Linked DNA regions of Arabidopsis thaliana. The protein of the gene in region 1 interacts with the protein of each later gene in a pairwise test. Each region holds a gene or a part of one and is shown on either strand. Other genes may lie near its edges.

Region 1 (4,218 bases):
GTTCATAAGATCCGTTCATTGCCACCCTCAAATAATCCTTTCATTATCTCTTTATCTATTTGTATAGAAAATTAGTTTGTGAGAAAAACGCATCAGGTCTGATATATATATATAAACCAACGATTAAAGGTTTAAGAAATAATAAAAATTAGAGTGTGAAAATAATAAAATTTCGCATTACTCAAACAGTTGGTAATTCTTGCTTATATTGTTATGTAACTCATAACCAAAAATAGATATATTAAATAATATATTGTTATATATTAATTATCAAGATAATTAATTAATTTTTTGTTAATTGATGAATTTCTTTATAAAATTCCAATGGTCACAAAATACAAAGGGAATACAAAAGCGTGATATGACATTTGAAACGTAAAAAAGCTTTTTTGAATTTTCACTTTGTTGCCTTGTGTGGCACTTAAGCGGGTCCCATTTTACAGCTTGCCACGTGTCGACGTAATGTACTCAGAATAACACGGTACTATTGGAAGCATGCACCTTCAGTTATTTGTCCACACATGATAATCAAAAAAAAAAAGTGATACGTAGAAGTTTTTGCATTGGTAAAAAATATTTTAATTTATATTCTGTTTTCATTAAATTTTAAATTATTCTATTTTAAAGTATTTGTTTAACCGTTAAAAGGTAAAACTATATAGTATACCACTTAAGTTTAGGGATGATGAAAAAAACTACCACGTAAAACAATAATAAATCGGTTGGTTGAAACCTTGCAAGTTCCATGTAAATTTATTAAAGTATATATTATTTTAAAAATATTTTATAGATAAAAAAACTAAATTAATAGTGCCGTGCACTTTTCTTATATGATTTTTGTTATTATAATTTTTTTTAATTTTTTTATTATAACTTACTATAGAGACAAAAATATATATATGCTTATTGGATGAAAACAATCGCTATCGTTGTTAATGGTCGCTCGTGTCAAGCCACACTTTGAGCCTATATGAACACAGACGATAATGCATGGTTAAAGAGGTTAAGAAAGTCATTATCGACTCCGAAATCACTATTTTACCCTCCTTTGCCTTGGTTAGTATCGTAATTTAAAAAGATTCGACATGATTAGTCAGACTTTGTATATGTGTCGAATTGTCGCCACTCTTTATCTCCTTTTAGTACAAACCAAACCACACTAAACTCGGCTGAATTATGGGAGATTATGTATTATTATTGATTGCCAACAAATTCTAATATTCCGGGTCTAAAATAATAAAATATTATTTTTTGGGGTACAATTGTTAATTACAAACACTAATCTGAGATTAACAGTATTTTGTAGGTCAAACAAACTTTACAAAAAACAAATGGTTTTATCATCTTATGAATTGAAATCTACAGAAGATGAAAGATAAACTACGATTTAATTCTAGCTAAGTACATATAGATCAAATTAATTAGTGAAAAGGATCAACAAAGCAAATTAAATGTACTCTCTCATGATTCACGAAGATAAGATAGCATCATCTATTTTAATTTGAAATCAATGATAGAAATCTCTTTACCTACACCTTCCTACACATATGGGTCAAAACGTTTTTTTTTTGGTATGACATTTTATTCCTTTTTCCTGTTGCTAATCTACATATATAACTACATAGCGTACAGCTATACATATTAAATATATTAGATCTCTACAATAGGTTAAACTGTAACACAAACTATTGATTTAGATAGCTACGGTAATTAATACGTTTTGATCGTCCATATTCCACAAATATAAATAGAAATACCATTTGATGTGTAACAAAAAAATCTCATAGACATTTATGGTTTTAATACAAAAAAAATTCTCAAAAATTGTAAATAAATACGAGTGGATACGATGGTCTACGTACAAAAGATTCCAGAGGATAAAAGCCATTTTGATTTGTCGTTTTAATGCCTTCCATTTTTAAAAAGAAAGATTACTAACGCCGACTCTCTAAAACTCTCTCAAACCATAAAAAATATTCTCCGATCATCATTTTAATGGAGAGTACAGATTCTTCCGGTGGTCCTCCGCCGCCGCAACCAAACCTCCCTCCAGGATTCCGGTTTCATCCAACAGACGAAGAACTTGTAATTCATTACCTCAAACGCAAAGCAGATTCTGTTCCTTTACCAGTCGCGATCATCGCCGACGTTGATCTTTACAAATTTGATCCATGGGAACTTCCCGGTAAGTTGAAACAAGACCAAGATCATAATCCGATCAGATCTGTTTCATTTTTTTTTTTACTGATTTTTGTTTTTTTTTGTGTTCTTGATTGTGACAGCGAAAGCTTCGTTTGGAGAACAAGAATGGTATTTTTTCAGTCCAAGAGATCGGAAATATCCCAACGGAGCTAGACCTAACCGAGCTGCGACTTCCGGTTATTGGAAAGCGACTGGTACAGATAAACCGGTGATTTCAACCGGCGGTGGTGGTAGTAAAAAAGTGGGAGTTAAAAAGGCTCTAGTGTTTTACAGTGGTAAACCACCAAAAGGAGTTAAATCAGATTGGATTATGCATGAATATCGGTTAACTGATAATAAACCTACTCATATTTGTGACTTCGGCAACAAGAAAAACTCTCTCAGGGTATATTATTATAATATTCTTAAAATCTTGATTTTAAAAGAAAAGTTTTGATTGGCTAATTTTTGATTCTTTTTATTACTATGTAGCTTGATGATTGGGTGTTGTGTCGTATCTACAAGAAAAACAATAGTACAGCATCTAGACATCATCATCATCTTCATCATATTCATCTAGATAATGATCATCATCGTCATGATATGATGATTGATGATGATCGATTCCGTCATGTTCCTCCTGGTCTTCACTTCCCGGCGATTTTTTCTGACAATAATGATCCGACGGCTATATATGATGGTGGCGGCGGCGGATACGGAGGTGGAAGTTACTCGATGAATCATTGTTTCGCATCTGGATCAAAGCAGGAGCAGTTGTTTCCACCGGTGATGATGATGACTAGTCTAAATCAAGATTCCGGTATTGGATCGTCGTCGTCACCTAGCAAGAGATTTAACGGCGGCGGCGTTGGAGATTGTTCGACTTCTATGGCGGCGACGCCGTTAATGCAGAACCAAGGTGGGATTTACCAATTGCCTGGTTTGAATTGGTATTCTTGAAAACAATTTACGATGAAGAATTTTTAAAATTTGTGTATATATATACGGTTTGAGTGATTAGGGGGCATTGGGGGATTTATTTACGGTTGATTATTATTGTAGTGTTATAGAACTAAGGAGATTAAATTAAATAGATTGGAGGAGAGGTATAAGGTAACATATAGAAATTATACAACAATAGTTTAAATATTCTTTTCTTTTCTTTTTCATGTTATTATTTTTACTAATGTATAGGTGATGATTATACTTAGATGTTTGTAGCTTGTATAAATTAATGCATGCATATATATAAAAATATATTAACAGTTATAGAAACTAGATTACCCTTGTGCTTTTCTTCAGCTATTTATTTTCAGTACTATCAGCTTCAACATTCGCATGTTTTGCTGCAAATTTTATTTTTTAAAAACATGATTTTAAAGTGACATCAGAAATACTATTTGGTAGAAGACCCTAACTTATAAGAAACAGACGATAATGAAACTATCTGGCGGAGCTTTTATTTGACTTTGTCGAAAACATGTTCGGAACCAAATCTTGGCAATCAAAATAAGTGGAGATAAAAGATACGACAAAGGGCCTTCAAATCTGGTTTGAATCAATAGTTTTAAACTGAAAAGTTTTAATCTTTTTGTTAGATCAAACAAATGTTGCACTTGTTGTAAAAACAATGTTCAAAAAATAAATATGATGTTCATAATTAAATTCGAATCGAATACATGTAATGGACATCTTTAATCATTTTTTTTTTCTTTTCTTTTCATAATGATAAATACAAATTTGATGCTGAGTAGAATAATAAAAAACACAATATTACGTTTATATTAAACAAAAAAAGGCATACATATCCATCTCTTTATATTATATTTATACCATCCTTAACCAAATTTGATTTCCAAGAAAAGAGAAGCTATTCCCATGGCAAGTAATGAAGTTCAAGCTAATCAACTCGAAAGGCAGAATGCTACTGTCAGCGATGTGTTAGCCGATCCTCTATGCACATGTTGGTGAGTTCATAACACAATTTAATTACTAGTTTCCAAAATTTAGTGTCTCTCTAATATATATGTTCTTCTT
Region 2 (4,313 bases), on another chromosome or scaffold:
ATGGTGCTATAACATTCGGGATTATTTGACATTTCCTTGCTTTTGATCAGAGCATTACTACTGTGATAAGTGTTCTTGTTAGGGTCATACAAGTATCCAATCTTGATTGTTCCCGTGCGAGGGACTTCTTCGTCATTATACAAATAAGATTCTCAATCTTTACTTAATGCTTAGTGGTTTGAAGAACCATGATGAAAAGATAAATCACTAAGGGAGAATCTGTACATGAAAAGCTTAATGGTGTTTTCATACGTCATGAACTTCTTATGGATACTCATTTTCGTACATTTGTCAGCTCTTTGTAGAACAGACAGGTCTTTGTTTGGTTAGAAATGATTTTCTACTGTTCAACATGGAATCAAAGTAAGAGCATCTCTTTTGCTTTGATGTGACAGTGATCTTGTTCTTGTTTGCTGTTCAGTTATATCCCAGTGACCAGCTTGTCCTTCTCGGTGGAAAGTGACATACGCTTCATGCTTCTTTTACATGTTCTTCATAAACAGGTTCGTTATGCTTACTCTTTCAAGTTGGATCATAAATATTCTATGTTTAATTAGATAGGTCTGAGTTTTCACTATTTTCTTAGTTACGCATTGTTTGGCCGTAGGTTTATAGCTAGTTAGAATATACTAAAACAAAAACTTCATTGATTAAGCTTACGAAGTTATTACAAAAACCATCTTGAACACAAAGCTTACTACTACAATCTTATTAGTCCATAATGTTCAATCTAAAGCTTTTACAGAATCTTCGGGTTCTTCTGTTTTAACCCCAACATTGGTCATCTGAAAGTGAACTTATAGAGGTCCAAGTCTAGTTCAGAAGCATCTGGTCGAAATGCCAAACTCCTGCAAAGACAGAACAAATGTAAATAAGCTTTTAGAAATACCATTCAAGTCTGAGAACACTATCTCAATATAGGGTTTTGATTCGTACCGTGGCCTTTGCCGATCATCCTTAGCTGGGTGATGTAGTCTGAGATCTTCTTGATTGCTTCAATCTAGAAATAGTCCATAATATATTCTGAGTCAGAACATGTACAGATTATACAAGTCACTAGTTGTAATCCGAACAAAGGCAAAAGAACTTTTACCTGCTCTCCCAGAAATTCACTCTCAACGAAATCAGCTAACTGGGGATCATTGTTCTCTGAGGCCACCTGTTTTGTTGGCCAAAAGTACGTGTTAGTTAGTATTAGGAAAATGACTATAAGTTTAATCTTTGATGATCAAATGGATAAGTTAGGGAACTTACTTTGTGAACGTTTAGAAGCTTCTCATTAGTGAGTTTCTCTAGAGACAGAGCCAACTCCATTGCTGAAAACAAAGATTAGTAAACTAATAAATATCTGTATCTTTAAAAAAAAAGAAAAGTTGTTATTTTAGGATTAAGATAGTGTATTTGCTTAAAGTTTTACCATATAAAGCATCTCCTTTTTCAGCATGTTCGAATTCTGAGATAGGTGAGACGATAGGGTGGAGTTTCACTCTTCCTCCTCTTTGGTTCTGTATAGAGACAACAAACCAACAATATGAATATTAACTAAGTGAATCACAAGTCTTTATCAACTTTTCTAAAACAGAAAAGAAGGTAAAAATAGAAAACCTGGTACTCCATAAACTTCTCAGCATGCCCTCTCTCTTCCTCACTTGATTCCTTGAAAAATCTGGTGATTATAAAAACTCATGTTTAGTATGGACATATATATCTCATTTTGAAGTATACGATCAAGATTATTATAAATAAGATTAAGATTAGAGTTAGAAGGTAATAATTACTTGGCTAGTCCCTTCATAGCAACGTTGTCTCTGTCAAAGTATGCGTACATTGAATGGTACACATAGGAGACGTTGTATTCCACACTGTAAATAGAAAGCAACCTCCTCCGTTAGATCTAATCTTTAAACATTTTCGTTTCTTTAATTAGACAGAAAAGAAAAGAGAAGCTTACTTGATTTGCTCATTAATGACTGCCTCGCTAGCGTCGGCAAACCTCTGGCGAGCGAGAGAGGCATGAGATGTGATTGGAATGGCCAGATCGGCTTTCTTCACCTCTTCGAAAGGCTGGAACACGACTCCGGTCATCGGCATGTTGTTTGTGTCCACCGTAGCCGCTGCAACGACCACTGCTCTGCCGCCGCCAACTTTCCTGGAGAAGCCGAGAGAAACCGACGGAGAAGCAGAGCCGTGAGGGAGTAGTGGCTTAGGAGACAGAGCGGGATTAGCGGCGGTGAAAGACGAGAGTGCGTTTGAGGCCATCGTTGGAAAATGTAGAAGAGGATAGTGTTGAGCCGCCTGAGATTTGTTGTAAGAGATGGTGATGATGATAAGAAAGAGGAAGGAGGAAGGGTTTATATAAGAGGGAAAAGGCGTGTGGTCACCGTTGGATTGAGATCCACGTGGAGGGTGGATATGAAAGCCAGATGTAGGGGCGTGTGGCGGCCTCGTGCTACATCCAATGGGATAGTGTGAACGTGAGGATATTCGATCCACGTTAACATCTCTCCAAATAAAGTTTGTCTGTTTCTCTGCTTTCTCTTTTATCCTCAGAATCTTTTTACCATTTCCGGTTCCTACTCTCGCGTTGCCACTTTCTTATTTCCTACTCGCTCTCTCCTATTTTTCGAAATGTATTTTTTAGAGTTGTAGATGATAACAAATACAATTGTTTACTATAAAAAAAAAAAAAGAAAAGATGATAGCGTTTCCAACATAAGTTAGACGTGTAAAATCCTGTGACACATATTGACATAGGAAATCGGATAGAGATAAAAGTATTTCCATATTGTTTTTATAAAAAATCATCAAGCTACTAGAACATAAGATTGAGAATGGTCCAAACCCTTTAAGACTTTCCGTATTATGTGGCCTAATATTCATAATTTACAACAAAGAAGGAAAAATTCGTGGCTCTCTAGGATATTTGATGGAGACGGAAAACTGATATACAATTATACATAGGATAGAGTCGCGAGTAGCTCAACTCCACGTAATTTCCAGCTAAAGCGCGTGAGAGGTTCCAAATGGTTCCTTGTCTTTATCGGAGACAATTACACGTCGGAGTAAGTACATTGTGGGCCTCATTAGTAATGTCACGGCCCAAGTTAAAAAATCATATCAAATGGTTTTTCTAAAAAGTTGTAATGTTGGCAAGGACAAAAATTAAGCATTAAATAAAGTGTAGTTAGGCTTGGTTTTATTTTATTGGCTTGATTTGAATCGATTCGTATTACTCTGGAATGCACAAAGACAAGGGTAGGCTATAAAAGTGTTAAAGAGCTTAATAATATTTTCGACTGTAATTACAAATTTAGCTGAGGTTCGTCTAATAGACAAGTAAAATCATGGGAGGAATGGCAAAAAAAAAGGATTGATTGTAGTCTTTAATTTTACTCTGTTTTGTGCCATGTGGTTCTTCAGTTCCCAAGTTGTGTTGCACCTATTTAATCTGATTTTCATTGAAGGCCCAATAGATAGATAGTCAGTCCCAAGGAGGAGTGATAGGCAAGTACTTTTTTTTGTAATTTGTACAGTATAATGCTGCCTGCTTGCTTCAATAAATATATTGGTGTTTATGTATTTGCCACATGTCATAAGTTAATTGGCTGCAGGAATAGTGCACAAATAACGAATCCAACGGTGCGAGAGTGGTGGGTTCCCAAAATTCTTTCCCGGAAGAAAAAGAAAGAAAGTCGTCCTTCGTTTTCTCAAAATCTTCTCTATCCTTTCTCGAGAGAATATGGATCAGATCTTCAACAAGGTTGGATCCTACTGGTTAGGCCAAAAGGCTAACAAGCAGTTTGACTCCGTCGGCAACGATCTCAACGTACGTCTTTTTTTGACCCATCCTATAGAATCTGATTCATCTGTTTTCCTAATCGATTTTGATCTATTGACGTGGTTCCGATATAATCAACCACCTTTATCGTAATTTTGGTATCATGCAGTTGTACGAATGTTTTGAGTTCATTGTTAGGTAAATCACGTCACATAAGGAAGAACATCTAATTACCAAAACCATGATATCTTAAGAAATGATTCAAATATATGATCCTATAATGTCTTCTCTTCTTGCTCATGTGGTTAGATTATTTTGTTTGAAACTGTGATCTTTTCTAACATATAAAACAATGTTTTTGTTTATGCCAGTCGGTGTCAACGAGCATTGAAGGAGGAACAAAATGGTTGGTCAACAAAATCAAAGGTTTGCTTTTTTTTATTCTTCTTCTGACTGCATCTTTCAATTTTTTGTTTTTTTGAAATTCCCCATTTGTCATCATGTTGACAGGGAAAATGCAGAAGCCGTTGCCTGA
Region 3 (3,736 bases), on another chromosome or scaffold:
TCAATAAAAAAACTCAAAAAAATACAAAATAAAAAAAATGACGATGCCATGAAATACTCAGAGAATTACACTAGCTAATGAATGGATGAAAGGATAGATCATACTTACGTTTGATTTTTGATTTTGATTTTGATTTTCGTTAGTTTGGGTAGATGCCATAATTGAGAAAATAGGGTTTCAATATATTGATTAGGGTTTTCTGATAAGAATAAAATATATAGGGTTTGGATGGAAGATATAATTATTTTAATTAATTAAAAAAAAAAATTAACCTAACCGCTACCGCCCGCAACCGCAAACGCTTACGGGAAGAAGCTTTTGAAATCTGGCGATTTCAAGCGGTCCAAAACGGTATCTAGCGGTTTCTATGATTAGTGTCAAACGCTAACAACCGCTACCACCCGCAAACGCAGCGTTTGCAGGTGGCAGAGGGAGAACCAATCAAAACATTAGTCACTGGTTTAAATTGCGTTCTAACTCTGTAAGCCTCACTTCAATTTTGGTTTTAGGCCCCAAAAAAAGGGATATACTGTTATGGGTTTGATTCGGTGAGATATTTGCGTCATCAAAATATGTATGATAAGTTCAAGAAGGGACACAATTGGAAATTATTAGCGTTGACATTAAAGAAATACGCGTGGAAGATTAGCGATACAATCATACAAGCAGAAGAAGCCATTTTCTAATTTAAAAACGATTACACACCTCATCAGTCATCATCATCAACATTCCTAAACCCATTTTTTGTGATAAATAAAAATAAAGTAAAAAGTAGATTAGACAGGGACATGATGGGACCACCACCAAGACCATTACAATAATACTAGTCAGGCTTCTTCTGTCTGCTCCACCCTTCTGATTCAGTGACTGTGAGCCTCGTGTCCCTCCTATATCACATTTTAAAATTCACAATTAATTTAAAAACGAATTAAAGAATTAACAAAAGTATACAAAACACTTGTTATACGCTCATGGTCGCTACGTTAGAGAATTAGGCACACTCTTACGTTTCCTAGGACTATATTCAATGCATTATTAATCTTTATAAACAAAGATTCGTTCTTTGACCCACCAAAGAATACTAAAACTAATGGTTACTTTTACTTTTTTTTTTTGCTTTATGAATCTCAAAACCAAAAAGATAAAAAATTTACCCGGTGGGGGAAAATGGAGTGGAGGATGTTGGGCTTGGTGGGCTTGGAGTGGGTGGAGCGGAGGACGCCGTGTTTCTTGAACTGTTCTCTAACAACACGGTTGTAGATAAAAGCTGCGCCTTGAAACTGAGGAAGAACTAGCCAAGCCACGAACACAAGTTTCACCGTATACCAAATCGGAATCCACTCAATAAGCGATTGCAGAATCAGTTCCGTGAGTGAGAGGAACGAATATATTATCCAATACGCAAGCCACTGTTCATCGTCCACTTTTGTTGTGCTCTCCATTGCTATCACCGATGCGTACCTGTAATCAAAAACATAATTAGTAAATATTCACAGATTTTTGTTTTTAATCTTCAACAAAAAGTAGAGAGATCGAACCAGAAAGAAACTTTTTCTTTTGTTAAAGGGTTTAACAAGAGAGAAACTTACAATGGATAAAGTAACATCACGATAGGCCTGCATATACATTACCAACAAATCGATTACGGTTTGGATTAGAAATCGAAACAGAGGAAATCAAAAAGTAACTAATTTTGGAAACATAATGGAAGGAAAATTAAGATTAAGAATAATTACCCAGCGCCTGAATGAAGAGCAGTGAGGAAAGTCCAAAATTTGTCCATTGTTTTTCTTCCTTTGCAAGATTTTTGGAAATGTTTAGGGGCTCTGTGAAATAAGAGAGAAAGAGAGAGCGACAAGTCTGTGTAAATTTCGAGGCGAATCAATTTTATGTAGAAGAAGAAGACAAAGAAATGTGAAAGGAAGAACCTAATTTATAGAAGGAAGGTAAAGGTATCTAAGAGAGAAATGGTACGGTTTGCTACAGAAGTTGGTTGGTTCACACACTTTTCATTGGCTCTTATTGGTGGAATATCATAAATAATATTTTATTTTTATTTTTTTAATTAACGTCGTACTAGAACGCTGATGCCGACATACAACTAGTCCGGTCTGGTCTGTCTTTGGTCTGTCTGGTTCGATTGGGTTCGGTTAGTTTATCCCACACGTGGCGAGATTCTAAGCTTGAAGGCGTCGACATGGCACCGACCTTAAGAATAAAAAAGACAAGACGTCGGTCGGTGAGAGCTTATGTCATTTCTTTATTTCTTTATTAATCTTTTAAAGAGATACTTTTGTCATTTTATTAATCTTTTTGCTGATTATTATTTTACCTTCTTTGCAAAGTTCAAAATTTGTGATTAGTTTGATTAAGGGTGAAACTAATGGGTTTGATTTTCTCCCAAGTCACGTAAGCTTCGGAAAAAGTTATGACCCAATTACATTCTTTTGTTCCTTTGATAGTCTAATTATATATATTTTGAATCTTCTTAACAAGTAACTTCGTAAAACCCAACAAATAGTTGATTCAAGTAAAACATATGACTGATGGATTCAAAATGAAAGATATACTTGGAATTATGCTTTTTTTCTTTTGGGCAACAAAACACTGCAAATTCATAAAAATAGCTTCCAAAAATGAAAACCCAATAAAGATGTAACAATTGAATGTGTGGCCTTCTTTTGTTTGAGTCCATTTTCTATTTAAATGATTAGCATCTTTTTTTGCTCAACTAAATGATTAGCTTTAACCATACTAATTTTACACAAAACATATTTTCAACATTAGTGTCACCGATGCACCTAATCACCACCAATGTAGTTCTTTCCCCAAAAAAGTTTATGAATAGAAAAGATGTAGAGGGGTGTAGTTTTTGCTTCTTCATCCAATGATAGAGTATTATTTTGTAAGATTTTCCTAAAACCATAAATACATACATTACTTATACTGTTTTAACCAACATAGTTACAGCCAAAGTTGAAGAGGTTCAATGAATTAAAAGAGAAGGCGAGAGGTAATAATACAAAACTAAACTTTTTTTATTTATTGAGATTGATGAACATTCTCAAACCAAAATAAATAAAAATATCAAGTAGGAACCAAAGTAATGATTTGTGTATTCATGGAGAGATGATCAAAGTGGTTCATCAACACAACTAAAACCCATGACAAAAGCAGCACCATTGTAACAGAAACAAATCTTCTAATCGTTGTCTTCTTCTTTGCTTTCGTGGTATCACTCGAACTCGTCACATTCGAAGACCAACAAGATGAATGAGAAAGCAATGTCGTCTTCTTAGTTTGATCATCATCATCAGAGTCGTGAAAGAGTTTTCTCCTTAATGGCGATATTTCTTGTATCATCTCTGCCTTTGGTTTGTGTTGGAGAGAGAGCATTAGGTTTCTGGGAGAGTTTTCGACATACTCAAGAGCATCTTCCACGGTAATCCATGAAACCGCAGATGAGTTTTTACCTGTTTTCATGGCTGTCCATTCCTCCTCAAGCTCTCTCAACTTCTCCTTCAGATGTTCGTGTGAACTACTCTCCTCTCTTTCTTCCATTTTCATTTCTTACCATTTACTTTGCTATGAATTAAAATGAATGTGGTTTATATCACTGTGAGATCTCTCACTAATTACTTTTAAAAACTTAGCTAGTCTTTGAATTGAATTATAATATTTGAAATTTGAAATTGAACAATTCAAATGTCAATAACTGAAAATGATTTTACCGAAG

The links.
Region 2: the proteins of NAM (region 1) and FER1 interact in a two-hybrid assay, tested with the Arabidopsis thaliana proteins (one large-scale study listed by BioGRID).
Region 3: the proteins of NAM (region 1) and HVA22D interact in a two-hybrid assay, tested with the Arabidopsis thaliana proteins (one large-scale study listed by BioGRID).

The regions. Positions count from the first base shown.
Region 1 is NC_003070.9:19,688,208-19,692,425, reverse strand, and holds NAM (NAC (No Apical Meristem) domain transcriptional regulator superfamily protein), read left to right. Parts: upstream 1-1,836; 5' UTR 1,837-1,995; coding exon 1,996-2,185; intron 2,186-2,282; coding exon 2,283-2,587; intron 2,588-2,673; coding exon 2,674-3,141; 3' UTR 3,142-3,718; downstream 3,719-4,218. UniProt on the Arabidopsis thaliana protein: May encode a transcription factor involved in the elaboration of shoot apical meristems (SAM).
Region 2 is NC_003076.8:227,336-231,648, forward strand, and holds FER1 (ferretin 1), read right to left. Parts: upstream 2,717-4,313; 5' UTR 2,260-2,716; coding exon 1,952-2,259; exon of another isoform or gene 1,928-1,951; intron 1,863-1,927; coding exon 1,779-1,862; intron 1,667-1,778; coding exon 1,606-1,666; intron 1,506-1,605; coding exon 1,418-1,505; intron 1,317-1,417; coding exon 1,255-1,316; intron 1,160-1,254; coding exon 1,094-1,159; intron 1,001-1,093; coding exon 937-1,000; intron 849-936; coding exon 814-848; 3' UTR 618-813; downstream 1-617. Other genes in the region: AT5G01610 (hypothetical protein (Protein of unknown function, DUF538)), read left to right, coding at 3,740-3,826, 4,150-4,204, 4,289-4,313.
Region 3 is NC_003075.7:12,826,107-12,829,842, reverse strand, and holds HVA22D (HVA22 homologue D), read right to left. Parts: upstream 1,988-3,736; 5' UTR 1,784-1,987; coding exon 1,737-1,783; intron 1,617-1,736; coding exon 1,590-1,616; exon of another isoform or gene 1,462-1,589; coding exon 1,155-1,461; intron 1,003-1,154; coding exon of another isoform or gene 983-1,002; intron 888-982; coding exon 861-887; coding exon of another isoform or gene 824-860; 3' UTR 540-823; downstream 1-539. Other genes in the region: AT4G24950 (uncharacterized protein), read right to left, coding at 3,088-3,561.